Linked DNA regions of Saccharomyces cerevisiae S288C. The protein of the gene in region 3 purifies or fractionates together with the protein of the main gene of each other region. This does not show direct contact. Each region holds a gene or a part of one and is shown on either strand. Other genes may lie near its edges. The genes, in order: SGD1, MPP10, UTP5 and NAN1.

Region 1 (8,865 bases), on a different chromosome or scaffold from region 3:
TCTTCAAAAAAGTTTAATAACACCACGCAGTTCGGAAGTATTAGTTCTACCAAATTTTCTTCGGGATTATCTTTGCTTACTCGAAAGTCATAGAGCGTATTGAATAGTTTTTTGTTTATTTCATTTAGAGTCAACGAACATTTTTCAAGGGTGGCACCAGATAATAACTCAGCATAAGGGACATTATCGTCAAAACTAAATTCTATCACGTCTTCATCTGCAGTATTTAGCATAAAAGTTGCTGAGTTTGAACGAAGACTATCAATGTTTCCATTTTTTTTTGAAAATTTTGACTCCGCTATATGGTTACAGTCAATACTCTGGGTATATTTACCACTCGAAGCTGGGTCATTACTGTTGTTAATTTGGTAGTTTAAATTAGAAGAATTATCATCTTGAATTCTATCCCACTTTCCTTCTTTCTCATCGATCCTTATCGGAACTGCGTCAGTTCCAAACTGGCTTCTGATAGTTTCTGCATTACCGCGATGGAGCTGTTCGCTTTTATGGTGCCCTGAATTGTTTTTTGATGTGAATAAAGAATCATCTAATGGAAAAAAACCTATACTACTCTTTTTTTTTGAAGGTACATTATCTTTTACGGTATATTCGTATTCCAAAGGAAGAAAGAAGCTATTTTGTACGTTAAAATTTGAATTATCTCCCCTTCGAAACATATTCTACTTCTATTGATCTCTTAAGGAACATAGAAATACTGCAAGATAGGTTTTTTTTTTTATGGGAGCTTCTGCTCACCTCTCATCGAAGCAGTAGTTTCGTCTTTTACTTTTCTTCATTATTTCCTCGCAGCTATTTTTGATTTTGTGACATTTCTTATATCCGACGTCTTGAAAGAATCAAGCGATAGTAGAGAAAAAGACAACTTTTGGTATTCTCAGTATTTCAATAAGCATATAAAGGATAAAAACCTTTGTTCAGAGACAAGCGTAAATTGGGAAGATAGTATAGCTACTTTCTCTCATCAAATCATGAACTTTGAAATAGTCCGTATGAACTAGAAAACCAAACTACATTAAGTGGAAGTATTTTTATCCAGTTAGGTGTCCAGAGCCGCTCAGAATATATGAAAATCGCCAGGTATTCGGAGACTAACTCAGGCTAGCGCAAGGAACCGGACAGTACATTATCATGAATAAAATGAATCAATGAGGATTAATGTTATTTAATTATAAAATAGTATATATGAAATTAACTTAATAATTCATGTTGCACTTCTTAATCGAATAAACCGAAACCCATGTCGTCATCAGATTCTTCTTCTTCTTCAGCAGCAGCTTCTTCAGCTGGAGCAGCGTCACCGGAAGCAGCGGAGGTAGCAGCTGGAGCAGCAGCAGCGTACTTTTCTGGGTTTTCAATTCTGTCAACCAAATCTTCAATTTCAGGGTAGTGGTAGGAAGCAGCAATGGCAACAGCTAACAAGTCCTTGTAGTTGTTGATCAAAGTGTGACCGACAGATGGCAAGGTTGGGTAACCAATAGCCAAAGAGATAGAAGCAATGGTGCTGACAGCGGAAACGAAGTGAGAAACCAATTCTTCATCGGTGATATCCAAGATAGAAGATGGGAACACTTGACCGTTGTCGTAAACTTGAACAACAGTCAAACCGAAAGTGAATGGAGAGATGTTCAACAAGTTCAACAAGGAAGCTTCAGATTGACCGACCTTGTTACCGGCGTCAACGACCTTGACATCAGAAACAATTTCAATGGTACCTCTGGCAATCTTGGTTGGGACACCCAAAGCTTGGAAGAAAGAAGTCTTACCTGGTTCCATACCAGTGTTGACGGCTCTAACCCAGATGTCTTCTGGAGCAACGGCACCAGCTCTGGCTGGAGCAGCAACTCTGTTAGAGACAATAACGTTCTTGATTTCAGTCAATGGTTCGTTAGTGAAAACGAAACCAACGTTACCTTTGACAAAAGGCAACAACTTTTCGAAGTCTGGCAAGTCGGATAAGAAACCTCTGATGGCTCTTCTAACCATGGTGTTCTTACCCATCAAGACGACAGCTCTGCCTCTCAATTCCTTTCTGACTTCGTGCATTTGTTGGGAAGAAACATTGTCAACACCAACAACGAACAAAGACTTGTATTCTTCCAAGTATTCTCTTAATTTAGCAAAGTATTCAGCTTTCTTTTCACGAATGCCTCCCATTTCAAACTTATTATACGTATTTATTAGACTGTTTGCAGGATGTTTAAAGGTATTCCGCTTATGTATCTTATGGCTGAAACTTGAAAAAAGAATCGAGAATTAGATATTGTTAATCTTTCATTTACTTATAACTTGAAGTCATTTTTTACCAGTTTTTCGCAACGATGTGATGCATTCACTCTCAGTTCGGCATTACTTCTTTTTTCTTTGAGAAATTTTTTGACTTTTTTCTCGAAATAATCAAAATGTGAAATGTTCGGATGTTAAGCAGGCAAATATGTAAATGTAGATATTGCCCTGAGAAGTATCTTGATAACATACGGTATGGAACTCCTTCAAGATAAGTTACAATTAAAATGGTAATTTCAATGTTCGGTTTGTCCGCTACATTGCTGTATTCTCTTTTAAGTTCAAATTACAAGGGCAAGATAAAAATTTTAGCTCACAAAAGATGGAAAAAGTCGCAAATATTCAAGTTACGAAACATTGACAGAGGATGGAATCACAATGTTAGCCTTCAAATCCTACTATCCTGTATGAAGCTTGCTAAAAGCGTCTTTAGAAAGAATGAAATGTTCATAACCTAGTCACTGCTTACGGGTGCGGCCGCCGTCCTCAAATAGGGGCCTTAAGAATAATCCGCACAGTCAGTAAATACTTGAACAAAATCTAAAATTATAAACTTATGAAGAAAGTTTTTGATATGAGACAAAGCATACGACTAAAAAGCGCACAACCGTTTGTTGAAGAAGCCTACCATATATATAACGAATTGTTGAAATGGCAGGTGCTCCAGCTCCTCCTCCTCCACCGCCTCCACCAGCATTAGGTGGTAGTGCTCCTAAACCGGCAAAATCTGTGATGCAGGGCCGTGACGCCCTGTTAGGTGACATTAGAAAGGGAATGAAACTAAAGAAAGCTGAGACCAATGATAGAAGTGCCCCAATCGTGGGAGGTGGTGTCGTTTCATCGGCCTCAGGAAGTTCTGGTACCGTCAGTAGTAAAGGACCCTCTATGTCAGCTCCTCCAATCCCTGGGATGGGCGCTCCGCAGTTGGGCGATATTTTAGCTGGAGGTATACCGAAGTTAAAACATATCAATAACAATGCAAGCACTAAACCCTCTCCATCGGCGAGCGCACCGCCAATTCCGGGCGCGGTGCCATCTGTTGCGGCTCCCCCCATTCCTAATGCACCATTATCACCAGCACCCGCTGTTCCTAGTATTCCCTCGTCTTCTGCACCTCCAATTCCTGATATTCCATCTTCTGCGGCCCCTCCTATTCCCATTGTACCATCATCTCCAGCACCACCGCTTCCATTATCAGGTGCCTCTGCTCCAAAGGTACCGCAAAATAGACCGCATATGCCTTCAGTAAGGCCAGCACACAGAAGCCACCAAAGAAAAAGCTCTAATATTTCTCTTCCTAGTGTGTCAGCACCCCCTTTGCCTTCAGCGTCTCTGCCAACACATGTTAGCAACCCTCCACAAGCTCCACCCCCTCCCCCAACTCCAACAATTGGCCTGGACTCAAAAAACATTAAACCTACAGATAACGCAGTCTCACCACCATCTTCTGAAGTTCCTGCAGGCGGGTTGCCATTTTTGGCAGAAATTAATGCCAGGAGGTCTGAACGAGGAGCCGTCGAGGGCGTTTCTTCCACAAAGATTCAAACCGAAAATCATAAATCTCCTTCACAACCACCACTTCCATCATCTGCTCCGCCCATTCCTACATCACATGCTCCGCCATTACCGCCTACTGCACCACCTCCACCATCGTTACCAAATGTGACCTCTGCACCTAAAAAAGCAACTTCAGCTCCAGCTCCGCCTCCACCACCACTACCAGCAGCCATGAGCTCTGCGTCGACTAACAGCGTAAAAGCAACCCCGGTTCCCCCAACTTTAGCACCACCGTTACCAAATACTACATCAGTTCCTCCTAACAAAGCATCGTCAATGCCCGCGCCACCACCTCCTCCTCCCCCACCACCTGGTGCTTTTTCAACATCCTCTGCCTTGTCAGCATCATCTATTCCTTTAGCACCACTACCACCTCCTCCTCCTCCTTCGGTTGCAACGTCAGTACCATCGGCTCCTCCTCCTCCTCCAACACTCACGACAAACAAACCCTCAGCGTCCAGTAAGCAATCCAAAATATCTTCATCCAGTTCTTCCTCGGCCGTAACACCTGGGGGACCCTTACCATTTCTTGCTGAGATCCAAAAGAAGAGAGATGATAGATTCGTGGTTGGTGGTGATACTGGATACACTACCCAAGATAAACAAGAGGATGTAATAGGTTCATCTAAGGATGATAACGTAAGACCTTCTCCTATTTCTCCATCTATAAACCCGCCTAAACAGAGTAGCCAAAATGGTATGTCGTTTCTGGATGAAATTGAATCCAAATTACATAAGCAAACATCATCGAATGCTTTTAACGCACCACCCCCCCATACGGATGCTATGGCGCCTCCTTTGCCTCCTAGTGCACCTCCTCCTCCTATAACATCGCTACCGACTCCAACTGCATCAGGTGATGACCACACCAATGATAAGAGTGAGACTGTGTTAGGGATGAAAAAAGCAAAGGCCCCTGCACTGCCTGGACACGTTCCACCTCCACCAGTTCCACCAGTTTTATCAGATGATAGCAAGAATAATGTCCCCGCCGCTTCTTTATTACACGATGTTCTTCCCTCCTCGAATCTCGAAAAACCTCCTTCTCCTCCTGTTGCAGCTGCTCCGCCATTGCCAACATTTAGTGCACCAAGTCTGCCTCAGCAATCCGTGTCTACATCAATACCATCACCTCCTCCTGTTGCGCCTACACTTTCCGTTCGTACCGAAACTGAATCAATTTCGAAGAACCCCACTAAGTCGCCACCCCCACCACCAAGTCCATCTACGATGGATACCGGTACCTCTAATAGCCCCAGTAAAAACCTTAAACAACGGTTATTTTCTACAGGTGGATCGACGCTGCAACACAAGCATAATACGCATACAAATCAACCAGATGTTGATGTAGGTAGGTATACGATAGGGGGATCGAATTCTATCGTTGGGGCCAAATCTGGAAATGAAAGAATTGTTATAGATGATTCAAGATTTAAATGGACTAATGTGTCACAAATGCCTAAGCCACGTCCCTTTCAAAATAAAACAAAACTGTATCCAAGTGGAAAGGGTAGTAGTGTGCCATTGGACTTAACATTATTTACGTGAGCATTTCTCCATGGTTACAATAAATCACTGAAGAACAAGAAAATAATAATATTTTATAAAAATATTTTACTAAATTACATATGGTATCTGCAATATTTATTTTTTAATCTTTTAGCTTCCCGTCCTTTTCGCTGTGAAAAATATAAAATCCAGCAAAAAAAAAAAAATGCGATGAGCTTACAAGACTACTGAACTTACTTACGAAGCCTCATCTTAACTAAAGATAGCCAGTCCACAGCTGCAGAATATTGAGGCAATGCAAAAAACAGATGGTATTAGAATTCCAGGCGTTATTTTGGACGAGTTGAAGACTCTTGACTACAGTCAAGATGAAAGGTTTTCTATTTCAGAAGGAAAAAAGAGAAGACGAGGAAATGGCAAACATTTAAGCCGTAAAGAAAAGAGAAAGATGGAACGGGCCGACAAGAAACGTAAAATTATATCAACTAGAGAAATCAATTCCAGCCGGCTAAAATCAGCACCAACGTCCGAAAAGAGGAGTGCTAATGCAGGTGTGAAAAACGTAGGCAAGCAGGCTAACGGTAAAAATCCGATTTCTTCAGATGAATCAGAAAGTAATGAAAACTGGGATAGTGACGAAGTGCTTACTGATGAAGTAGCAGAAGAAAGCGGTGAGCAGGCAATGTCTGCGGAAGAAACAATGAAAAAACTAGAATCATTGAAACGGAAAGCAAAGGGTATACAAGGAGCTGAAAACTCGGGAGAAATAAAAGGTAACTCATATGAAAAGAAACATATTCGTAACAGAGATACAAATGAGAATTTTGTGAGTTATCCGCTGGCCCCTTCAGACAGATCAGCGTTTGAAAGGGACGAGATGGACATGCAATATTACGCAAAAAAGTTGGGCTTGAAAGGAGAAAGGAAGGCTATACATGCAAAAGATGAATTTGATGCTATTGGTGGACTTCTTGAAGGTTTGGAATACTTTGAAAATTATGGCAAAAGTGACGAAGAGTATGGAGATTTTGCCACAGAAACTAATTCTATGAGAAAAGATGATGAAGCAAGCGAGAAAGCATTTTCCTCGGATGATGATCTTTCAGCTTCTGATTTTGAAGACTCAGATGGGCTTAGTGAATCTGATAACGACAGCGTTGCGGACTCGGATGATAATTATAGAAGAGAAAAGGAAAATCCCTATGTAGCTCCCACACAATCTGTAGAGAGCTATGTTCCCCCATCACTGAGAAAGAAATTGGATGATAGTGAAAACAATAGTACTTTGTCTGAAATTAGCAAGAAGGTCAACTCCTCTTTGAATAAGCTTTCAGACTCCAATATTACTATTATTATCACTGATTTAAACAGATTGTATGATTCCCTGCCTAGGCAGTACGTTACAGAATCGTTAACGAAAGGGATATTGAATATTATAAGCCAAAATCAGAAGTTGTTGGACGGATTTATAATGAATTATGCTGCTCTTGCGTATACATTATCAAAACTAAGAGGTATTGAGGTGGGTGCTTTTTTCATTCAAAAAACGGTAGAGGCATTTCTGCATCATTACGAAGAGGAAATGGAAAATATATTAAAGGATCAGCAGAGCAAAATTTCCTCTAAAATATGCATCAATATTGCAACCTTACTATCGTATTGTTATAATTTTGGATTTGTTTCGTGTCGCTTAATCTATGACATTATTCGAATATTTGTAGCAGATCCTAATGAATTCACTACTGAGTTACTTTTACGAATTATATCGATTTCAGGACAACTGATCCGGGGTGATGATCCATCCGCCCTGAGAGATATACGATCAGAACTGTTGAAGAACGCCAAGAATTTAAAAGAGCAGAGCCCAAGATTGAGATTTTTAATGGATACCATGTCTGACTTGAAAAACAACAGGTTAAAGCCTTCTATTTTGGCGACTGATCATCATCCATTAAAGAAAAACTTGCAAAGCATTTTGAATTCTTCTTCTTCTTGGGAGCCTTTACAGGTTTCTCTGGAAGACATTAAAAACATTGATTCCAAGGGGAAATGGTGGCTGGTTGGTGCTTCTTGGCGAGGAAACATGGAAAATGCTTTTGAAGTTTCGATCAATAATGAAAATGATGCCAGCAAGTCCAAGAAATCTAAAATTTCAATCGAGGATGATCTTCTTGATGATATTCCAGATTGGAATATTATCGCCAGACAACAGCGTATGAATACTGACATTCGAAGGGCTATATTTATAAGTATTATGTCTGCACAAGATTACCTGGATGCATTTAGTAAACTTGAAAAGTTAAGCTTGAAAAATAAGCAAGTTCTTGAAATTCCAAGAATTGTTTTACATTGTCTTTTGGCTGATAGTGGATCCAATGGTTATAATCATTACTACGCATTGGTCGCGAACAAAATATGTGAAAGGTATAGCCATTTATCGAAGTCGTTTCAATTCCTATTCTGGGATGTGATAAAAAAATTTGAAGACAAAGAATTCGATTCTGAAAGCGATACTGACGAAGAAGATGATTTAGATGATAAAGAAAAACTGCTTCGCATCTCAAATCAGGGGAGATTTTTTGGATCGTTGCTTGCTAATGACATTTTGAAATTAGATGTTTTCAAGCATGTTCCATTTATGGGTGGATTAAACACAGAAGGGATGTTATTTATGGAGATATTGCTATTTCAGTTATTTTTAACTGTAGCTAAAAAAAGTGAGAAGAAACTCAAGATGGATGAAAGTGGAAATAAGCGTATAATCTACTCCGATGATTATTTGCGCGATGTTTTAACGAAGAACGTTAAATCGGAAAATATGCTATTCATTCTCAAAGGTTTGAAGTGGTTTATTAACAAGAAATTTAGATACCATAATTTCCTTGCAGGAAAGAAAGGAGATAAAGCTTTTGATAGGGATGAAAGAAGATTGGCTTGGGCTTCAAAAGCTGCCAAATCTATTATAGACAAAGAACTGGAAAATATAGATTCGTAGTGTTTTTTGGAATAAATTTTGTATTCTTTATTTGCTCAACTATAACCTTGAGCTACAAAATATGAGGGTTCTATTCTATTTAAAATTGTTAACTGTATTTACTCTTATTTCATTTCTTTTTTAGCATCTTCAATAGCTTTCGTAAATGAGCGGCCTTCTTCCTTCTGCTTAAACTTGACGATATAAGTTACAAGTTTCCCATCAGCCGCAACAGTAGGAGCTTTAATGAGATTATCATTTCCGGGAGCTAAAGGCTCATATTTGAAGGAGTCTACAACAGTTGCATTTAGTAATACATTACCCATACCGTCAGACCTACAAAGTAGGCGCACTTTAGAAGGATCGTCCTTTTTCTTCAAAAGCTTCATTTCGCCTACGCCTCTTGAATCGTACGATTTGGTTTCAGCATTGAATGTCATTAATTTTGCTTTTTGCGAAAATAAAGCCACTTCGTCTTCCTCACCGTTTTGCAAGTTTATTGGCTTTGATTCTTCTGGGGT
Region 2 (5,981 bases), on a different chromosome or scaffold from region 3:
AATGGAATTCAAGTGGACATCAATCGTTTGAAAAAGGGCGAAGTCAGTTTAGGTACCTCAATGTATGTATATAAGAATTTTTCCTCCCACTTTATTGTTTCTAAAAGTTCAATGAAGTAAAGTCTCAATTGGCCTTATTACTAACTAATAGGTATCTTATAATCACCTAATAAAATAGTATGGCCGTGACATTTAAGGATGGTGTGATACTAGGTGCTGATTCACGTACCACCACTGGTGCGTACATAGCTAACCGTGTGACAGATAAATTAACGAGAGTACATGACAAAATTTGGTGTTGTAGGTCCGGTTCTGCAGCAGACACGCAGGCGATTGCCGACATTGTTCAGTACCATTTGGAATTATATACTTCTCAATATGGTACCCCCTCCACAGAGACTGCTGCCTCGGTGTTCAAAGAATTATGTTACGAAAATAAAGATAACCTTACTGCTGGTATAATTGTGGCTGGTTATGATGACAAAAACAAAGGGGAAGTATATACTATTCCATTGGGTGGCTCCGTCCATAAGCTGCCTTATGCGATAGCAGGATCTGGCTCTACTTTCATATATGGGTATTGTGATAAAAACTTTAGAGAAAATATGTCAAAGGAAGAAACCGTAGATTTCATAAAGCATTCGCTATCGCAAGCCATTAAATGGGACGGATCTTCCGGTGGTGTTATAAGAATGGTTGTTTTGACAGCTGCTGGTGTGGAACGTTTGATATTCTACCCTGATGAATATGAACAACTATAATAGACCCCAAAAGAACAAATTCTGAGTGATTACTTCTCTTTATATTTGTTAACAAATGCCTCTGGATCTACACTGATATAACATATAATAGTCTATAACCTCTTTCTCTTTTTCTCTTCGCTTTACGCTTTTTTCTCTAACTGTTAGAACGACAAAGTATCTCAGAAGGGAATTTCGTAAGCAAGATATTTTACGACTAATCATTTTTTTGTTGTATAAAAACGTATGTGAGATTGATTCACTAATTCTTCGGAGTCCTGGAAGGCTTACCTTATCTATGCATTCGTACAGTTGTGTGCAATGTTAAAAATGGTGACTGTATCTACGTATCTATAAAAAAAGGTTAACTACCGGAAAATCATTTCTTCTCGTAAAGTGTATATTTAGGTTCGGAAATCATAAACATTGTTTTTTTGTGTTTTTTATTTTTAAATAAAAAGAATAAATATTTTATATTAAAAAATAAATTTTAAAGTAAATTAATTATTTAACACGTGATTAAGTTACTCTAATATAATCCTATTTAATAATTAGTAGAGTTGTTGAGAACGAGTATAATATTATTTTTTTTTTATTTTTTTGTAGGTTCTTTGGCCATCCTAAATAGAATAAGCATCCACAACAACTAAACTGGTATTTTGTTATACACAACGCGTCTTGGTTAGGCATCTGTTTTGTTTTAGCTATTGTTCATCGCGTTTTTTTTTTTCTTATCTCTTTTACCGAGGGGCGAAAATAGCGATAGATCGAGAATATAAATAAATAAAATATTGTTGTGTTGTGTAGTTCTAAAGAAAAATTTTACAGTGAAAAGGTAACACCGGGGAGTCATTACGTAGACTTACGTATTCTGTATAACTGATTCCGAGACGCAAATGCCTGAGCAAGAACCATTGAGTCCCAATGGCCGTAAGCGCTCTGAGGTTCACTATATCTCAATCCCATTGAACAGAGGTTCCGCATTCTCACCAGATGATTCTGTATCACAGTTTCAGTCTGACGGGTTCATGACACGTAGGCAATCCATATTGGACCATCCTGTGGGCTCATTTAAGGGAGTTAATTCTTTAAGTCGATTTGCGACTTCGTTGAGGAGAGCCAATTCGTTTCGTAATATCGAGCTAAATGCGGATAATGAAAGATCCTTTTTCAAAGAGAGTAACGATGAAACCTACGATCCGGATACTTTAGCACCAGCTTTGGACGGTAGAAGATTATCAGTAACTTTAAATAATGCTGGTCGCCCGCGCATTACTAATTTGGCTAACAACGATAGAGTTAGTACAGCCAGCATGGCTATTCACGATGATGATTATGGGTCCATCCAAAATTCAACAATTGGGGATTCTGGGTCAATATTACGCCCTACTGCCTCCTTAACAGAAATGATGAGTGGTGGAGCGGGGAGAAGGTTTACAAATAATGACATGGATTCAATTGTAGTGAAGAGAGTGGAGGGTGTAGATGGTAAGGTAGTAACTCTTCTTGCTGGTCAGTCGACCGCTCCACAGACCATATTCAACTCAATCAATGTACTGATTGGTATTGGGCTCCTGGCGTTACCTCTTGGTTTGAAATACGCCGGCTGGGTTATAGGACTTACTATGCTTGCAATCTTCGCCTTAGCGACATTTTGTACTGCTGAACTTTTGTCTAGGTGCCTAGATACAGATCCAACTTTGATATCTTACGCGGACTTGGGATATGCAGCATTTGGTACAAAAGGGCGCGCACTAATTTCTGCTCTTTTCACACTTGACCTACTGGGTAGTGGGGTGTCCTTGGTGATTCTCTTCGGAGATTCTTTAAATGCTCTATTTCCTCAATACTCCACCACTTTTTTCAAAATAGTTTCATTTTTTATCGTTACACCCCCGGTTTTTATACCATTGAGTGTTCTATCTAATATCTCGCTTCTGGGAATCCTTTCAACAACCGGAACTGTGCTAGTCATTTGCTGCTGCGGACTATACAAGTCGTCTTCTCCAGGTTCATTAGTTAATCCGATGGAAACGAGCATGTGGCCGATAGATCTAAAGCATCTCTGTTTATCTATAGGTTTATTGAGTGCCTGCTGGGGAGGACATGCGGTTTTTCCCAACTTAAAGACAGATATGAGGCATCCAGATAAATTTAAAGACTGTTTGAAAACTACCTATAAGATAACATCGGTTACGGACATAGGTACTGCAGTTATTGGCTTTTTGATGTTTGGAAATCTTGTTAAAGATGAAATTACTAAGAACGTTTTGCTGACGGAGGGATATCCAAAATTCGTTTATGGTCTGATTTCAGCGCTTATGACTATCATTCCTATCGCAAAGACCCCATTGAACGCAAGACCTATCGTTTCTGTATTGGACGTTCTGATGAATGTGCAACACATAGATGAAGCGGCCAGCGCCATAAAAAGAAGAGCTGCGAAAGGCCTTCAAGTATTCAATAGGATCTTTATTAATGTTGTCTTCGTTTTGATAGCTATTAATTTCCCTGAATTTGATAAGATTATCGCATTTCTGGGGGCCGGTTTGTGTTTTACAATTTGCCTAATTTTGCCGTGTTGGTTCTATTTAAGATTGTGCAAGACAACAATCAAACCATGGGAGAGAGTGGCTTGTCACGTAACCATATGTATTAGTGTCGTGTTGTCCACATTAGGTGTTGGTGCTGCAATTATTTCATAATCGACGAGGGGCATACTTACTCTACTTAAAATTCATTTACATTAGCTCTGTACTTCTGATAATGAAAAACCATTGCGTAATATACATATTTTCGTGTAGAATTATTTCCATAAAATATTCACCGCCTTTTCTGTACTGGCCGCCGGCATGCGAGGGAAGCAGAAAATTTTCAATTTTGCGATGAGCTCTTGAAGAAACAGTGTTTTGTTATGAATAAATGATGTGTGCACGAAAGACCCAAGGAAAGTCGTATAATGTCAGAACTCTTTGGAGTATTGAAATCTAATGCTGGCAGAATTATTTTGAAGGACCCCTCCGCCACTTCTAAAGATGTTAAAGCATATATAGATTCAGTTATCAATACCTGTAAGAATGGGAGTATTACAAAGAAAGCAGAACTGGACGAAATCACTGTTGATGGTTTAGACGCCAATCAAGTTTGGTGGCAGGTCAAACTAGTTCTTGATAGTATTGATGGTGATCTAATTCAAGGAATTCAAGAACTCAAAGATGTTGTCACGCCTTCTCACAATCTCTCTGATGGTAGCACCCTGAACTCATCATCCGGGGAAGAAAGTGAACTAGAGGAGGCAGAAAGTGTTTTTAAAGAAAAGCAGATGCTCTCTGCTGATGTTTCTGAGATTGAGGAGCAGAGTAATGATAGTCTTTCCGAGAACGATGAAGAACCTAGTATGGATGACGAAAAAACCAGTGCAGAGGCAGCTAGAGAAGAATTTGCGGAGGAAAAAAGAATTTCTTCTGGGCAAGATGAAAGGCATTCTTCACCCGATCCTTATGGTATCAATGATAAGTTTTTCGATCTCGAAAAGTTCAATAGGGATACTTTAGCTGCAGAAGATTCTAACGAAGCTTCTGAGGGGAGTGAGGATGAAGATATAGATTATTTTCAAGATATGCCTTCAGATGACGAGGAGGAGGAGGCTATTTATTATGAAGACTTTTTTGACAAACCCACAAAAGAACCTGTGAAGAAGCACTCTGACGTAAAAGATCCAAAAGAAGATGAAGAATTGGATGAAGAAGAGCATGATTCTGCCATGGATAAAGTGAAATTAGACTTATTTGCGGATGAGGAAGATGAACCGAATGCTGAGGGAGTGGGAGAAGCCAGTGACAAGAACTTATCTAGTTTCGAAAAGCAACAAATAGAGATTAGAAAACAGATAGAACAATTGGAAAACGAAGCGGTTGCCGAGAAGAAATGGTCTTTGAAGGGTGAAGTAAAGGCAAAGGATCGTCCCGAAGATGCATTGCTCACTGAGGAACTTGAATTCGACAGAACTGCAAAGCCTGTTCCTGTTATAACAAGTGAGGTCACAGAATCATTAGAAGATATGATTAGACGAAGGATACAGGACAGTAACTTTGACGACCTTCAAAGAAGAACCCTGTTAGACATCACACGTAAGTCTCAACGGCCTCAATTTGAATTGAGTGATGTTAAATCCTCGAAGTCGTTAGCAGAAATATATGAGGATGACTACACACGCGCTGAAGATGAATCTGCATTAAGTGAAGAGCTTCAAAAGGCACATTCCGAAATATCAGAACTTTATGCTAACTTGGTATATAAATTGGATGTGCTTTCATCAGTGCACTTCGTTCCTAAGCCAGCAAGTACTTCTTTGGAAATTAGAGTTGAAACACCCACTATATCGATGGAGGATGCTCAACCTCTCTATATGTCGAATGCCTCTTCTTTGGCTCCTCAAGAGATATACAATGTCGGTAAAGCAGAAAAGGACGGAGAAATTCGCTTGAAGAATGGTGTTGCAATGTCTAAGGAAGAATTAACCAGAGAAGATAAAAACAGATTGCGCAGGGCTTTGAAAAGAAAAAGATCGAAAGCTAATTTGCCAAATGTAAACAAAAGATCTAAAAGGAATGATGTTGTTGACACTTTGTCAAAAGCCAAGAATATTACTGTTATCAATCAAAAGGGTGAAAAGAAAGATGTTTCCGGTAAAACGAAGAAGAGCAGATCAGGGCCAGATAGCACAAATATAAAACTTTGAACACGCCGAAGAAGACTTAGTTTGTATTTAGGTAAAAAATTATTTCTTCATAACTCTGTTCACCCAGCATTTTTTATGGAATATCGACCTTGTAATGTCATTAACCCCTTAAAGGACCACTTAAAGAAAATGAAGTGCATCATGAAATATTCATGACGAGATGCGGAACATATACACTCATAAATACCAGAAGAATGTGCTGAATAATTTTTTGTTGGTAATTGGCTGTCATTTAAAGTATCGTTGAAACAAGAGGTATTGGAAGATAGCTAATTTTAGTATTATTTATGACGTTCTTTCCTGGATAAATGTAGATGTATATACGTAATAAAATGTTAATTAGTAAGTTATATGCTTTCCATATAATGTTCTATCTTAGTCTGCATAACTTGTTTGCTTGTTTTTGTTTCTAACGCTTCTCCATACTGGGCTAAGAGATTTTTTATTTTTTTTGCAGCAGTCGGCCCTGATATCAGCTTTTCTCCTAGTGCGCCATCAAA
Region 3 (7,846 bases):
GGGATTTAGCACCTATTATCAAGAATTTATTATCGAGCGGTGACGCATCGTACATTTATCCCGGGTTACTACTACTGTTCCAACTTTGTAAAGCTCATAGGTGGGACATGGTTGGGTCGAGAGATTATATTGATTCTGTTATCGAAGAACTTTTCCCTATTGTGGAAGGGATAGCTTCTAATATCGGTAGTCAAACGGATTACAGATCTAATGAAATATTGTACCTCATTTTGAAGTCATTCAAGTATGCATGTTTGAACAACTTGCCTCAATACTTCAGCCAACCTGAAAGAATTATGTCATGGGTGCAACTACATTTGTATTTATGTTCCAAACCATTACCAGTCGAAGTAATGGAACTGGATCCCGCAGATAGGTCCCTAGACAAAAGGGTTAAAGTGAACAAATGGGGGTTCGGTAACTTAAACAGATTCCTGCAAAGATACAACAAAATTACAAAGGCCATCACCAAGGAATTTATCGACTATATCTTCAATACTATTGTTCCTATAATTCTTCGAGAATTTTTTAAGGATATTGAAGCTTGGGGTAATAATTCACTATGGTTATCCGATTCCTCTTTGTATTTCTTAATTTCATTCCTAGAGAAATGTGTTACAATAGATCAACTTTATCCTTTAATTGAGCCACATTTACAAATTATTTTTGAGAACGTCATCTTCCCATGTTTGTGTGCTAATGAACAATCCATCGAATTATTAGAAGATGACCAAGAGGAATATACCAGGCGTTATTTTGACATTAACAGAGAAGGCTCTACGCCAGATGCTGCTTCAGCAGATTTCATATTCTTGATTGGGTCCAAACGTCCTGAGAAACTGAACAATATTTTACCGTTCATTAATGATATTTTTACTAGATTCGATGCCAATTCCAGTGATATTAACATGGCATTTAAAGAAGAGGGTGCTTTGAGAACATTGTCTAACTTGTTTTCGTTTATAGATGAGCCATCCGTTCTGGAGAATATTTTTGGACACTTCATCGTGCCATTGTTATCGCAGGATAAGTACATGTTTTTGGTTGCAAGAAGTTTGGAAACGATAGCGCTGTATTCGGAAGAATTTAAAGATATGAACATATTGTCACAATTATTTGAGTTAACATATACCAACTTCTTAAACAGTAACGTTTTACCAGTCCAAATTGAGGCCGCAGATGCCATTAAATGTTTAATTGTATCCAATCCTCAAATCCACCCAGCGGTCTCTGCTCATGTTCCAGGTATGATGGAAAAGCTATTGAAATTGTCTAAAATCTTTGAAATCGATATCTTATCTGAAGTCATGGAAGCATTGGTGGAGAGATTTTCAGATGAACTATCCCCATTTGCTAAAGATTTAGCTTCAAACCTAGTCGAACAATTTTTACGTATTGCTCAAGCATTGGTAGAAAATCCATCGGAAACCTACAGCGCAAGTGACCAAGAGCAGGAAATCCAGGCCAGTGGATTGTTACAAACAATGACTACTATGGTCATGTCAATGAATAAAGTTCCATTAATCGAGTCCTTAGCTCCCGTGGTCAAGTTTGTTGTACTTCATGCACAAATTTCTTTTATTACGGAAGCTGTCGACTTACTGGATGCTTTAACTATTTCTTCGCATCTGCTTTATAACCAAATTGCACCACCAATATGGGAGTTGTTACATGATATATTGGATTCTTTCCAAACTTATGCCATGGACTATTTTGAGGCCTACAGTATTTTTTTTGAAACCATCGTGATGACCGGCTTCCCACAAGATCAAACTTATGTTCAACCTCTGCTAGAAATTCTCTCTGCTAAACTGGAAAGTGAAGTTGACTACGACATCGAGCATGTTATGCAAATTCTAATGTACTTCGCACTGTCCATGAGAGACATTCCATTATTCAGCAAAGCCATCAAAGTATCCACTAATGATGAGCTAGGATTGGACTCTAAATGCATCGTTAAACTGGGACTGGCCAATTTGTTTGCTAAACCAATCGAAACTTTACAAATAATGGAAAATGAAGGTTTTACTATAAATTTCTTTACCAATTGGTTTAATGAAAAGTTCTACAGTGTCTTCGCCATCAAATTACAAGTCCTGGTCATTTTAACCCTTTTGAAGATGCCTGAAGTTCCTAATAGTGTCAGCCCACTACTAAATAACCTGACCAATAAACTGGTGGAATTGACATTATCATTGCCAAAGGCAATTAGAAACCGTGATGCTGTTACCGAGGGCAAATCCTTAGAAGGAGACCTGACCCCAGAAGAAGAAGAAGAATACTTTATCGAATGTGATGATGATATGAAGGAGACAGTGTTAGACCAAATTAATGTTTTCCAGGAAGTACATACCTTTTTCAAGAATTTGCAAAACGAAGATGCCGGTAAGTACGAAAAAATCATAAATTATCTGGATGAATCTAAGAGAGATTCCTTGCAGGTAATTCTGGAATTTGTTTCTCAACACTGAGGAGAACACAAAAAAAATAGTGGAATGTGATAGTTTGAAATAAGGATATTAGTTTATACTCTAATATACAAATATAAAAGTTGTTTCTTTTTCGTTCTTTTTTTTTTTTGGACTTGTCTTCGTTTTTATTACATACATGCATGCGCTTAACATATTCCCATGTGGTTTATTTTCGTATATAGCATTACTTTGTTTAGAAGCTTCTATTCAAGAAGAATCCTCCGACTTAACCGGATCAGATACACTATTGTGGTGTAATCTGGACCTTGACTGTCTAAACAACTCCTCTTGTTGTCGTAGCAGCTCTTCTTCCGAGAGACCTGACTTCTTGAACTTGGAATCCCTAGTTTCTTTCACCTTCTGGGAACCCTTAAAATTCAATAATATTTCCTCTAAGAATGGTATAAACTCATTATACTCCAACTCTTCTAGCGCTTTGATCACGTGCTCGGGCGCTATGGTTTTCTTAGCCTCGTTGTCCGCCATTTCGGAAGCCATCGAGGACAGGATCATTATGAATTCTATGCCGGAGTTGATGATGATTTCTCTTGCATCCTTGGTAAACATCAAATCCTGGTCCAGTATTTCAGATATCATCTTTTGTACGGTCGCTAAGATCATTCAGTGTTTTCTCTAAGTTAGTATAACCGCTCAGTACCCGCATCAAAGCTTGAGTTTTGCAACAACAATATAACTAACATACCCTTGGGAAGCGACACATTATCGGAGTCTCCAGCCATCAATTAATTAATAGGTACAACTGTATTAGTAAATATCGTTATGATTTCTTGCCCACCTTATACTGGTAACTCTGCACGATAGAAATCGACAAGGCGAGCAGAGGGCGAAAAGCGCGACCAAAAACCGCTTCCATTTATATAGGAGGGAGAGTGCAGCGGGCTGGGCGTTTTAAAGTGGTGCAAGAGTTAATTGCACATACTGGAATACGCCAAAGATAAGAGCCCGAGCTGATTAAACCAGATCGTAATTTTTGCGGCGACTATTCGCATGAACAGGCTATGCTGCATAGTGGTGGCATTTCTTTACAATAGTTTTGGTTGAACGTGTTGTACAGTTCCCCTTATTCTTTGATTGTCATTTAACACGGGGATGAGCTTCTTGACAAAAAAATTTTATCCAATTTTTTTTCATTTCTTTTTCTAATCTTTCGCAGCTGAAGCGATGAGGTGAAAAAATTAACAAGTATTGGATAGGATATATGTATGTAAAGATAGATGCAGAGCATATATAGTTTAAACTTGGCTTAGCAAGAGGGTAAAAGACACATTTGCCTTATAATTGTTCATTACCGATGGATTCTCCTGTTCTACAGTCCGCTTATGACCCATCAGGTCAGTATTTGTGTTATGTCACTGTAGCTTTGGACAAGCAACGCGTTGGTGTACAGCCCACTCAAAGGGCCACTTCCTCCGGAGTTGATACAGTGTGGAATGAGAATTTTCTGTATTTAGAGGACTCGAAATTGAAGGTGACGTGCTTAAAATGGGTAAACCTGGCTTCTTCCGACACAGTGGCTATTATATTGGGTATGAATAACGGTGAAATTTGGCTATATTCCGTATTGGCCAACGAAGTCACCTATAAATTCACTACGGGGAATTCTTACGAAATCAAAGACATAGACTTGATGGGTAATCAACTGTGGTGTATCGACTCCAGCGACGCATTCTATCAGTTCGATCTGTTACAATTCAAACTGTTACAACATTTTAGAATAAACAACTGCGTTCAATTGAATAAACTAACCATTGTTCCAGCAGGCGATTCTGTTGCACAACTTTTGGTTGCATCCCATTCCATTTCTTTAATAGACATCGAAGAGAAAAAAGTCGTAATGACATTTCCCGGTCATGTATCTCCAGTGTCCACATTGCAAGTTATAACTAATGAATTTTTCATATCAGGCGCAGAGGGTGATAGATTCTTGAACGTATATGATATTCATTCCGGTATGACCAAATGCGTCCTTGTGGCTGAATCAGATATCAAGGAGTTATCTCATTCAGGCCAAGCCGATTCTATCGCAGTCACTACCGAGGATGGTAGCTTGGAAATTTTTGTTGATCCATTGGTATCGAGTTCAACAAAGAAAAGAGGCAACAAGTCCAAAAAATCCAGCAAAAAGATTCAAATCGTCAGTAAAGACGGCAGGAAAGTTCCAATTTATAACGCATTTATTAATAAAGACCTTTTGAACGTATCGTGGTTACAAAATGCTACTATGCCTTACTTCAAGAACTTGCAGTGGAGAGAAATCCCTAATGAATATACCGTCGAAATTTCCCTAAATTGGAATAATAAAAATAAGTCCGCCGATCGCGATCTACACGGTAAAGATCTTGCCTCAGCCACCAACTACGTGGAAGGTAATGCAAGAGTCACCTCTGGAGATAACTTCAAGCATGTTGATGACGCTATAAAGAGCTGGGAAAGAGAATTGACTTCTTTGGAACAAGAACAGGCCAAGCCCCCACAGGCCAATGAACTATTAACAGAAACATTTGGTGATAAGCTAGAATCAAGCACCGTCGCAAGGATTAGTGGGAAAAAAACAAATTTAAAAGGTTCCAATCTCAAGACTGCTACGACAACCGGGACGGTAACAGTAATTCTGTCGCAAGCACTACAATCAAATGATCATTCACTGTTGGAAACAGTGCTCAATAATCGTGACGAGAGGGTCATTAGGGATACTATCTTCCGTCTGAAACCAGCACTGGCTGTCATTCTCTTAGAAAGGTTGGCAGAGAGGATTGCAAGACAAACCCACCGTCAAGGCCCATTGAATGTTTGGGTAAAATGGTGTTTAATCATACACGGTGGCTATTTGGTTTCTATTCCAAATTTGATGTCTACTCTATCGTCGTTACATTCCACCTTGAAAAGGCGTTCCGACTTATTACCAAGGCTACTAGCACTGGATGCAAGGTTAGACTGTACTATAAATAAATTCAAAACTTTGAACTATGAAGCAGGCGACATCCACTCATCCGAACCAGTTGTCGAAGAGGACGAAGACGACGTTGAATATAACGAAGAACTCGATGATGCCGGCCTTATAGAGGACGGTGAAGAATCTTATGGCAGTGAAGAAGAAGAAGAAGGTGATAGTGACAACGAAGAGGAACAGAAGCATACCTCATCTAAGCAAGATGGCCGTTTAGAAACGGAGCAGAGCGACGGCGAGGAGGAAGCCGGATATAGTGACGTTGAGATGGAATAGAGGATATCATGCATAAAATGCTTTCACGCATCAGAATACAAAAATAATCTCTAGGCACATAAATACTTATATAGAGTTCACCACATAATGTAAGAAAAGAAAAAAGAAAAAAAAAGATCACGAAAGTATCCCACGCGAAGAAGATCTGTCAAAAGACCCCCACAATCGTTTATCCTTTTTGAACTGCATCTGGCATCGTTAACAGTAAGGCCATCTGGAACATCAAGCAAGCACTCCACTTTTACGTCACAACCATAGTTGGTTAACTAAGAAAAGACAGTACATATTTCCCTTCCGAGTCACTTATTTTTTTTTTCTTCTGAAAAAATTAATTAGATTAATTTCAATTAATATCATTTCCGCTTATCTGACTTCTTTCATTTTTTTTCTCTATATTTCGCGTTTACTAGGAAAGAAAAGGAAAAAAAATTTTTCCCCCTCCATCTGTCCCAAATCGGGTAGCGATGAGCTGCTATAGAATTTTCTATTTAAACATGTTTGATAAGCCCAATTTCCGTTAGATTTTGTTCCCCCTTCGCAGTTTGGTTTGCCGTAACTTTTTTATTTTAGTCTCCATCTAGCTGGAGTAATACGATGTAGTGCCTTGTAATCTTTCTTATTTTTATATTACCGTTCGTGTTCATTATATCCATTACGTTCCCATAATGTCGGCAAACGATAAGCAATACATCTCGTACAACAACGTACATCAACTATGTCAAGTATCCGCTGAGAGAATTAAGAATTTCAAGCCGGACTTAATCATTGCCATTGGTGGTGGTGGTTTCATTCCTGCTAGGATCCTACGTACGTTCCTAAAGGAGCCCGGCGTGCCAACCATCAGAATTTTTGCTATTATTTTGTCTTTGTACGAAGATTTGAACAGTGTAGGCTCAGAAGTTGAGGAAGTTGGTGTTAAGGTTAGCAGAACACAATGGATTGATTACGAGCAATGTAAATTAGATCTAGTCGGCAAGAACGTTCTTATCGTTGACGAAGTCGATGACACCCGTACCACACTTCATTACGCTTTGAGTGAATTGGAAAAGGATGCAGCTGAACAGGCAAAGGCTAAAGGTATCGATACTGAAAAGTCTCCAGAGATGAAAACAAACTTCGGGATTTTTGTTCTACACGATAAGCAAAAACCAAAGAAAGCAGATTTGCCTGCCGAAATGTTGAATGACAAGAACCGTTATTTTGCAGCTAAAACTGTTCCAGACAAGTGGTATGCATATCCATGGGAATCTACTGACATTGTTTTCCATACTAGAATGGCTATTGAACAGGGCAATGACATCTTTATTCCTGAGCAGGAACACAAGCAATGATAGACATATCATATCCTTCAGTAACTTGAATCATACAGCAGAATTTGTACAATAGACAACGCATATAACTGCGACCATATGTATACGTATAACTAATTATTATCTCAAAGTTTATTCCCTTAGCCTCACCGGTAACCTGTGAGGCGCGATTACGTTTTCCCTCTGTTCACCACCACGTAACGCGATATTTGACACATACGTGACAACTACTTTTGATGGAATCTGCTGATTTTTTTACCTCACGAAACTTATTAAAACAGATAATTTCCCTCATCTGCAAGGTTGGGGAAGGGTTGGACAGCAATAACCAGCGACTGTTTGAAGAAAAGATGACTGTTAGTAAAATACCCATATGGCTAGATTGTGATCCTGGTCATGATGATGCCATAGCCATTTTATTAGGCTGTTTCCATCCAGCTTTCAATCTTCTAGGAATCAGCACGTGTTTTGGTAACGCACCGCCAGAGAATACTGACTACAACGCCCGTTCTCTTTTGACTGCGATGGGCAAAGCACAAGCGATTCCAGTTTATAAAGGCGCACAGAGACCTTGGAAAAGGGAACCTCATTATGCTCCTGACATTCATGGTATATCAGGTTTAGACGGCACTTCTTTGCTACCTAAGCCAACATTTGAGGCAAGAACTGATAAAACGTATATTGAGGCCATTGAAGAGGCGATTCTAGCTAACAATGGAGAGATATCCTTTGTGTCTACTGGTGCACTTACCACATTAGCAACAGTTTTTAGGTGTAAACCATACCTAAAAAAATCTGTCAAATATATTAGCATTATGGGG
Region 4 (8,634 bases), on a different chromosome or scaffold from region 3:
CAAAATCTACCATTTCACTAACAGCGGATGCACTTAATTGGAAACTTGCATAAATTGCGTCTTTCCTTAAAAAATCGTCTAATGAGTTTGATAGCTTTGAAGCATCATTTTCAATTTTCTTTAACAGGTAGGGAACCAACAGCTCAGAGAAAGTATTCATTAAGTCTTGAAAAACGTTCTCTGCACATGGTCTGATTTGATATTCGTAACTCGTGGCCATTTGTTCGTTTATCCATTCTTCTGGATCCATAAACCAATTTTCTAATTCAGTTGGTCTTAACCTCAAGTACCATTCCATTAAAGTGTCAACCAACCTTGTTATCAAATTCTCATTCAGAAATTCTGTGTTGATTTTGTTGATAGAAGCATCTATGGTTAGTTTATCACTTCTTGCTTTTAACGTAATTGCCCCCTTTTTGTGAATGAAATTAATGACCCTTTTCAAAATTAAAAGCCCTCTAATAGCAGTCTGTTCCCAAAAGTCCCCCGTGACATCAGAATTCTCTCTATATACTTTAGGGGCCTTATCGAAAATTAGCCTAGTATAAGTGATTAGAATTTGCGTAGAGCATGGCAGTAATATGAAATTAGCCGGAGAGCCAGTGACTAAATTGAAATATAACTTTCCTAGGCATTTGATAAACTTTTCGTAAATATCAAACTTTTTGAAGTTTTCATGGTTTGAAATTAACATCTCAAAGTGTGAAACGGATAGTTTAATAAAATCGCAAACAGACTGATCGGTTTGAGGGCGGTCGTATCCTTCACAAATTATCCTTCTGAGCACTTTCAAAGCTAGGTAAGAAACTTGTAAACTGGAAAGATCCTCGTAGTTGAGATTGGAGGATGTCGTCCATTCTTCAAATGATTGTAAATAAATCCTGACAATTAGTGGTAATATCAAAGGAACTTTACTTTGCATAGCGGGTCGGCACCTTCCTATTCTCGCAGTACCTAATACTTTAACGATTTGATTTATATGCATCAATATATTGTAAATCTTAACTGAATCTTTTCTGATGATCTCATCGTTCAATAGGTTTTCTAGATCCTCAAATAAGGTTGGCCACTCTACGGGAAAATCTAGCCTTGCAATCCTTGCGGAAGCTTGGGCATTCTGAATACAAAGTTGATTATTCTGTTCATCGATCATTTCAAAAAGACGACCTCTTATCGAGGCTTTTTCATCTTTAGGTATAGCGTTAATTCTAGTGGATCTCCAGTATTTATCCACGCCGTTCTTAAATTGAATTACCGCCAACCATCTAATTTGTAAAGAATTAGATAAATTAAGGTAGATTGACTGTAATAAGTAATGAAATCCCGCTTGAGTCTCCCATTGTCTTAGTTGTTGTTCGGCTAATTTTTGAACATCTGACCTAATATGTTGTGGGTTACTTGCTTGTTCAAGTACTTGAACCAAGTTTAACTCGTTAAGAGACGAGGCCATTTTTGTTTAACGCCTTTTAAAATTTGATTCGGTTGACAGTTGAGGCAAGCTAAAAAGTTAATAGTTTATGGTGCCTCCTTTTTCTTAAACACAACACCTACCAAGAAGTTTGACAAATATTAAGCTACCCAATTGTTTGAAACTTCAATCTTCTTACATGGAAATGTACGCTATAGAAGTGTAATTCAAAAAAAAAGAGGCGGCTTATTTGGAGAGATTATTTTATTCATCTTGACTGAGGATGCTCATCAAACAAAAATCGTATGAAGAGATTTTTTGTATATTATGATAGTTCTATTAACATTAATGATTGTGAAGCTTTTTACGAAGTGTCTGTTCCTATTAACCAATGCATTCTCTTCCCTTCCCTTGTAACTAAGTTATACAGATATTTTTGCTTTCGGTTTGCTTTATAAACATATATATATATATATATATATATATACCTTTATATCTATTTTGGATATCCAATGGAAGAACCCTAAAGCTATGTTAATACTTTCATCACACGATCAAAAAATGTATCCATTTGCACGTTTTGAATGTTGTCAAACATGCTCGTAAAACTATTCATATTGACTAGCTTATCTTTCTTTTCGCCATTTATAAATTCCAAAGCGATATCTTCTTCATCTTCGTCGTTATCATTGGTATTTTTATCTCTAGTGTCACTTTTTTTGCCCCTAGACGACAGTTTATGCAATTGTTCTGCAAAAATATCGCTATTGGATGCCGAAGTTGTGATGGTGTTACTTACCAGGCCATCCAATATTCCTTCGTTATTAACTTCATCAGATAGTTGAGTATTCACAGTGGTTCCGACAACACCTAGTGTTGATTCTATGTCCAAAAATATGAAATCAGTATCATAATTCCAACCAATCCAAGATATGTATTCATGATGCGTAAAATTACCCAATTTTGTAGATAAGTCAGAATCGAATATAATAATACGGGATTTGTAATTGATAGTTGGTACGCCATCGAGATCAGTTAGTTGTTGATTTATAACCAGGGCAATGTTGCCTGTCCTTTCGTCACAAGTAATAAGCCTATCCATGTGACCATTTTTATACACTCCGTTAACAAACGGATATAAGTCAAAACTATTTATGACTTGACCCCGCAATAAGTTGATGGCGTTTAATGTAGTCCTGGTGGCCACTATTAAATTTGTGTCATTAATCAACTTGACGGTTTGGATTTCAGAGTCTAACGTGAACTCACTGACCGTCTTTGTATTTTCCAATGATTCAAACTTTTTAAAAGTGTCGAAATCTAAAATTTGCAACTTGTCATCGAAACCATGGAATATTAGAGACCCGTCTTGAGACCAAGCTAAAGAAACGGAGTTACTGAAATGATTAAAGTTTGGTAAAGAAATTTTTTTCAAGCACCAGTTGCTCTCATGAGAGTCGAAGGACCAAAATTTCAGTCCACCGTTGTTGTCAGCCGTTAAACAGCCTTGACTATTATTAACTGATCTTGGTGAAGGCAATATCTTGGTAATTGGGACACTTATCCCGTGTGGATTTATTACTTTCGTTTTCAAATTCCAATTTGTCTCATTATCGTTTTTGGTCCAAAATTTCAAGATATGAGTTAAGTCCTTGGAAGATAAGAGGTCATTTGGCGGATACTCAATTTCGTATGTAATCATCCATTGCCCATCTTTGGTGAACTTCAAATCAGTTATTATTGGGTCTTGTAAATTCAGTTCAAATCTAACTTTACCCATAGAATTGTTGACACCTGATGTTAAATACTGATAGTTAACTTGCTCATTTTTATAGAAGTCAAAAATTTGAACAGCAGAAATGTGTGGGAAATACAAGTTCTTGTTAATAGGGTTTATTTCTACATTAGTGGTGAAATCTTGTCTTCTCGATTTAATTAGTTTTCTAGATTGTTTCTTCTTAGAGTGATTGAGAGAGGTAATTGAGTTGGAGTTCTTGGTATTCATGGCCGAGATTGGTTGCTGAATGTGTTTTATGGTGCTATTGAACACCGGTAATGGCCCGTTAATCGACAATTTGGAGGTCAAATCAGAAGCATTCAAAAGTAAAAATTGGTAGTCAGAATTTGAATTGTTTTCAGTCATTTGTAGGATTAAAGAGTAGTAGTTCCCTTGAGGTCCCAATACCTGACAGTCGATTATAATACCGTTCAAACGAGGCAGGAATTGTTGAGAGTTTGTTTCCAATTGCCATAAACTCATAACTTTTTCCCAACCACCAGATAGCAAATAGGATCCATCGTGAGAGAATGAGAGTGACAGCACAGAGTCTATATGCCATTTGAGCAGTCTTATTTGTAGATCGGCCAGGCTTACGATACTTATAACTCCGGAGGCAAATCCAACAGCCAGTTGTTGACCCATATTGTCTATGGCCATGCTAGAAACGTACCTTGTGTTATAGGATAGGGATTGAGTCTGTGAAGAAAGGATGGAACCGAGGGGAAAGCTTAAATTTACAGAATCATCAAAAAGCGAAACAACTGAGATGGATTTGTGTTCGTGATCTTTTGTTGAGACGTCTTTGCACATATGCGCTAGCAGTTTACCATTGGAAGAAATATTTGACAAGATAACGTTGTGCCATTCTGCCTGATGAGCCACTTCAAATTGCTTTTTAGCATCGTCAAAGGTTAATGCATATAACCTGTACGATTGCAAAGAGTTATGTGCCTTTTGACTAGGGTCCTTGAACGTTGTCAAAATTCTATAGTTGCCCTCGCTATGGAAAACATTTGCAAGCTTTTCATCTGCCAAAGAGATTTTGAAATGCTTAGGGGACTCGACCAGCTTCCCCTTATAATTTAAAACAATTACATGACCATTATTGGTGAATACGGTAATCAGATGAGCGTCTTCTTGTTGCGGAACGGTTATATCACCCAGCAGAATCTTTACAATCGATTCATTATTCTCTTCTTCTTGCAGAAATATTCCGGATAACAAGGAGTTATTTGCAAACTTTAGAGTCTTAACACATTGTCTAGTTTCCACAGAATACACCTTGATCTGATTGTTAAAGGGTATAATATAGTTTCGTTGGTCTTGTGATAGGCGGGCGATATTCTTATTGCCGGTTACTGAACTGAGATTATTCAAAGCGGGTTTCCCACCAGATACGACTGACAGTTTATACTGTTCGATACCTAGGGATTGCGTCATTCTGGTGATCAGCTAAAATGGTTCTGGTTTGTACTTGTAGTTCCTGTGACGACAGCCAATATAACTGATATGTAAACTGTGCCAAAAATCATTTGTTCGAAAAATTTCATCTCATCTCATCGCTAGGAAAAAGAAAGGAAAATTTTTTTCTAGTTTCTCCTTCTCACATTTTACATCACTTACCACGTACCCTAAGCAGTAGGCCGCCTTAACCCTGACGTGCTATTTTGTTACCCTACTGATGTGACCGCTAGATTTTGACATGCCAAGCAATACAAATCTCCAAGAAGTTGCTGTTTGCTTTGATGAAATGCTATTCTGTGTCAAAAATGCCCCCTCCTAGGGACTTGCGTCTAGGTAAAAGCTATTCTGCACAATAACAGGTTTGATGGATGATTTTTGTTTGTTCTCTTTGGCTTTTCATTTTCGCGTCGCGTTTTCTGCTGTTGTTTGTTTTTTGTGTGGAAAAGCGGGCGGTCAAAGTTTTTTGTTTATCTGCCTTTATTTAAAGAGGAGGAGCAACTATAGATTTGGGGAGTTGTTATTTATGGGCACCTGATAATGCTTGGCAGCGAGGGAAGCAATTATAATACAACTAAAGCAACATGGCACCCAAGAAATCCACTACCAAGACCACAAGTAAGGGCAAGAAGCCTGCAACCAGCAAAGGCAAGGAGAAATCAACTTCCAAGGCCGCTATCAAGAAAACCACGGCAAAAAAGGAGGAAGCTTCCTCCAAGAGTTACAGGGAGTTGATCATTGAAGGGCTCACGGCTTTGAAGGAACGTAAGGGATCCAGTCGTCCGGCACTCAAGAAGTTTATCAAGGAAAACTACCCGATCGTCGGATCCGCAAGCAACTTTGATTTGTACTTCAACAATGCCATAAAGAAGGGTGTGGAGGCCGGCGATTTTGAACAGCCAAAGGGACCCGCTGGTGCTGTGAAACTGGCCAAGAAGAAATCTCCAGAAGTAAAGAAAGAAAAAGAGGTCAGTCCAAAACCCAAGCAAGCCGCCACTTCTGTGAGTGCAACCGCATCAAAAGCGAAAGCCGCATCCACGAAGCTAGCGCCAAAGAAAGTAGTGAAAAAAAAATCGCCTACTGTTACCGCCAAGAAGGCCTCTTCGCCTTCTTCATTGACCTACAAGGAAATGATCCTTAAAAGCATGCCTCAACTTAATGACGGTAAGGGCTCCAGCCGTATCGTTTTAAAGAAGTATGTCAAGGACACTTTCTCCTCCAAGTTGAAAACAAGCTCAAATTTTGACTATCTGTTCAATAGCGCTATCAAGAAATGTGTTGAAAACGGCGAGTTAGTGCAACCAAAGGGCCCCTCCGGCATTATTAAACTAAACAAGAAGAAGGTCAAACTCTCCACGTAAAAAGTGAATATCCAAACGAGAATGTCAATGGTGATAGCAATACTATCAAACCTATTTTCTTTCTTCATTTTTGTGTCCCATCACTATTAGTATTTTGTATTATTTCTAAATTTTTTTCTCTCTAATTTTCAATCTTATTCAAGTGTTTGTTGGCGGTACTGTAAATTTTCATTTTTTAATCTCTCCCTTCTCTATTTGTTACTTATTCGGTAAATATCTCCTTTATGATTTTATTCAAATTCCATTCTTAACTAACTAACTATACTGTTTATAAATTTCTCTTCTCTTATATATGCAAGGTACAGTGTGTAAAATTAATTATTGTATTTGAAGAAAAGGCTTTAAAATCTGAACATTTGAAGCCCTAATATTCTGCACCGTGCCCTATTAATTTTCGCCCCTTTCCGTAGAAGCCCGGCGAGACCTCATTCCGACTAATTTTCCTCAATGCTTTGCCCTTCCTTGTAAACATTATAATAAACAATCATCTCAATATTGGCGTTTTGCTCCTATATCCTTGCCAACATTTAAGATTGTGGCTGTCCCATCTGCGACAGAAATCATTTTACATTAGTTTTTCTTTACTCACTTCTTTCCCCATTTGTCATGGATTCGCAAGTGCCCAATAATAACGAAAGCTTAAACCGCTTCAATGACATCATCCAAAGCCTGCCTGCAAGAACTAGGTTGACCATATGCTCATTATGTCTGCTGGACAATATCTCCACTCAACTACTGAGGTTTCTTATCCTTAATGCCAACTCTCCCAATATTATAGCGGTTTTGACGGACCAGACGGCTTTCCTAAGCTCAGGCGAAACAGAAATTTTTCAAACGTTAGTCAAGCTCTTTAAGCAGATCAGAATGATTTACCACACCAGATCTCCGTTACTGTCTGTTCACGACGTGGCGCCTGGTTTATGGTTTCCCAACTCCCCTCCCCCCCTTATATTGAGAGGCCACGAAGCGTTTATTATTACTGCCATAAGAAAGGCGAATCTGCTAACATTTCTATTGACGTCGCTGAACTGCCTTAATTACGGGTTTGAGCTGCTACAGTCGATATTTCTCGATATTTTCTGTCCAAATACAAACACTGTCGGTAACAACTCCCTGGAACAAAGCGGAAAGTTTTTGAAATCGCAGGCTATCCTATATCTTGATCTGAAAACACAGGCTTACATTGCCGGCTTGAAAGAGTTTCAGGACGAGACGAACGAAATTTCTTTAGAAAAGAAACAAGAGCTACTAGACTTAATCTTCCCATCCAATCTGGCTGATATTCTCGTGCAGAGAAGAACCGGCGATTCTGGAGACATTACACTTTTGACTCCATCGGAGAAGGACTTCGTCGAAAGGTGCGATCGTCGGAGAGAAAATTTAAAGATCGTCCAAGATTTTAACTCTCTGACCCAGAGCTACGAATGGGCTCAATTTATCAGAGAGTTGCTGGATTATTGTAATAAAAATATGGGTCTCATCATATGGGGCAGAAAGGGTCGCGGAAAATCACCATTATATGACTTTGATGTCAACGAGTTTGATCCTCAAGTACTCTTTTCTACAGGGACCAGGACCGTAGAATTCATGGACGACCAAAATCAGCCAAGCAGTGCGTCTGCTTTTTTGTCAACTGCTCGTCCGAATCATTACAGCACACATACACCTACCACAGATGTGTCTTCCAAAAACCCCGCTATCACACAATCCATTGTGGATGCCGCTGTTGCGGCCTCGATGAGCAACAGCAGCTCTGGTCCTCATTCCTCTCATAACAACAGCAGTAACAGCAACAATAATGGTAGTATCGGATTAAGAAAACCAAAGGCGAAAAGAACTTGGTCCAAAGAGGAAGAAGAAGCATTAGTGGAAGGCCTGAAAGAGGTTGGCCCATCGTGGTCTAAGATTCTAGATTTATATGGTCCCGGTGGTAAAATCACGGAAAATTTGAAGAACAGGACGCAGGTACAACTGAAAGATAAAGCCCGTAATTGGAAATTACAATACTTGAAGAGTGGCAAACCATTGCCTGACTATTTGATAAAAGTGACCGGTAACTTGGAGAAAATCTACAAGGCAAAGAAAAAATTCTCTCAATCTCCAAATTCGTCAACTATTATGGAACAAAATTTATCTCAGCATCCTTCATCAGCTGCATCTGCTACTGAAGACACTCAAACTCATCAAGAGGATTCACATGGGCAAAATAGTGATAATATGCCATCTAACGGACTTTTTGGCAATAGTACATCGGACAATACAGGTTTTGATCCTCATTTAGAAGATGGGATGTAGCGCGCTTAAATGAACAGACTTCTAATTTTCTATTGAACCACTCACTATTAAAAATACTTTGATGGGTTGTTAACTTCGCATTGTTTGGTTCCCTAGGTATATTCTTTTGACGTGGTCACCCTATCTTCTAGCAACCTGGTCCCCTCGTGTTTTTCTTTTTATTCTTTTTTCTTTTCCATTTTCTATTACATTGGAATGTATATATTTGATGTTCTCATTTTCTAAAATGAAAACTGTTGTATAATTACTTAAAATCCAAGATAAAAATGTGTTGTAATAATATGTGTTTGGTAAGGTGTCGCGGTTATTGGAATAAAGTTTATATAAGA

The links.
Region 1: the proteins of UTP5 (region 3) and SGD1 purify together in Saccharomyces cerevisiae (affinity purification with mass spectrometry, with the first as the bait; 2 studies listed by BioGRID). This does not show direct contact.
Region 2: the proteins of UTP5 (region 3) and MPP10 purify together in Saccharomyces cerevisiae (affinity purification with mass spectrometry; 3 studies listed by BioGRID, with this or other methods). This does not show direct contact.
Region 4: the proteins of UTP5 (region 3) and NAN1 purify together in Saccharomyces cerevisiae (affinity purification with mass spectrometry; 4 studies listed by BioGRID, with this or other methods). This does not show direct contact.

Annotation. Positions count from the first base shown.
Region 1 is NC_001144.5:799,197-808,061, reverse strand, and holds SGD1 (Sgd1p), read left to right. Parts: upstream 1-5,665; coding exon 5,666-8,365; downstream 8,366-8,865. Other genes in the region: SPO77 (Spo77p), read right to left, coding at 1-677; 60S ribosomal protein uL10 RPP0, read right to left, coding at 1,237-2,175; VRP1 (Vrp1p), read left to right, coding at 2,956-5,409; nucleoporin NUP2, read right to left, coding at 8,470-8,865. UniProt on the Saccharomyces cerevisiae protein: Involved in osmoregulatory glycerol response, probably through its interaction with PLC1 which regulates the expression of GDP1.
Region 2 is NC_001142.9:435,166-441,146, forward strand, and holds MPP10 (rRNA-processing protein MPP10), read left to right. Parts: upstream 1-3,699; coding exon 3,700-5,481; downstream 5,482-5,981. Other genes in the region: PRE3 (proteasome core particle subunit beta 1), read left to right, coding at 1-62, 179-761; AVT1 (Avt1p), read left to right, coding at 1,637-3,445; MRX12 (Mrx12p), read right to left, coding at 5,829-5,981. UniProt on the Saccharomyces cerevisiae protein: Involved in nucleolar processing of pre-18S ribosomal RNA. Required for the early cleavages at sites A0, A1 and A2 during 18S ribosomal pre-RNA processing.
Region 3 is NC_001136.10:1,263,688-1,271,533, forward strand, and holds UTP5 (Utp5p), read left to right. Parts: upstream 1-3,783; coding exon 3,784-5,715; downstream 5,716-7,846. Other genes in the region: SXM1 (Sxm1p), read left to right, coding at 1-2,471; negative cofactor 2 transcription regulator complex subunit NCB2, read right to left, coding at 2,679-3,082, 3,175-3,211; HPT1 (hypoxanthine phosphoribosyltransferase), read left to right, coding at 6,381-7,046; URH1 (trifunctional uridine nucleosidase/nicotinamide riboside hydrolase/nicotinic acid riboside hydrolase), read left to right, coding at 7,376-7,846. UniProt on the Saccharomyces cerevisiae protein: Involved in nucleolar processing of pre-18S ribosomal RNA. Required for optimal pre-ribosomal RNA transcription by RNA polymerase I together with a subset of U3 proteins required for transcription (t-UTPs).
Region 4 is NC_001148.4:306,204-314,837, reverse strand, and holds NAN1 (Nan1p), read right to left. Parts: upstream 4,629-8,634; coding exon 1,938-4,628; downstream 1-1,937. Other genes in the region: karyopherin KAP120, read right to left, coding at 1-1,450; HHO1 (histone H1), read left to right, coding at 5,234-6,010; TBF1 (Tbf1p), read left to right, coding at 6,617-8,305. UniProt on the Saccharomyces cerevisiae protein: Involved in nucleolar processing of pre-18S ribosomal RNA. Required for optimal pre-ribosomal RNA transcription by RNA polymerase I together with a subset of U3 proteins required for transcription (t-UTPs).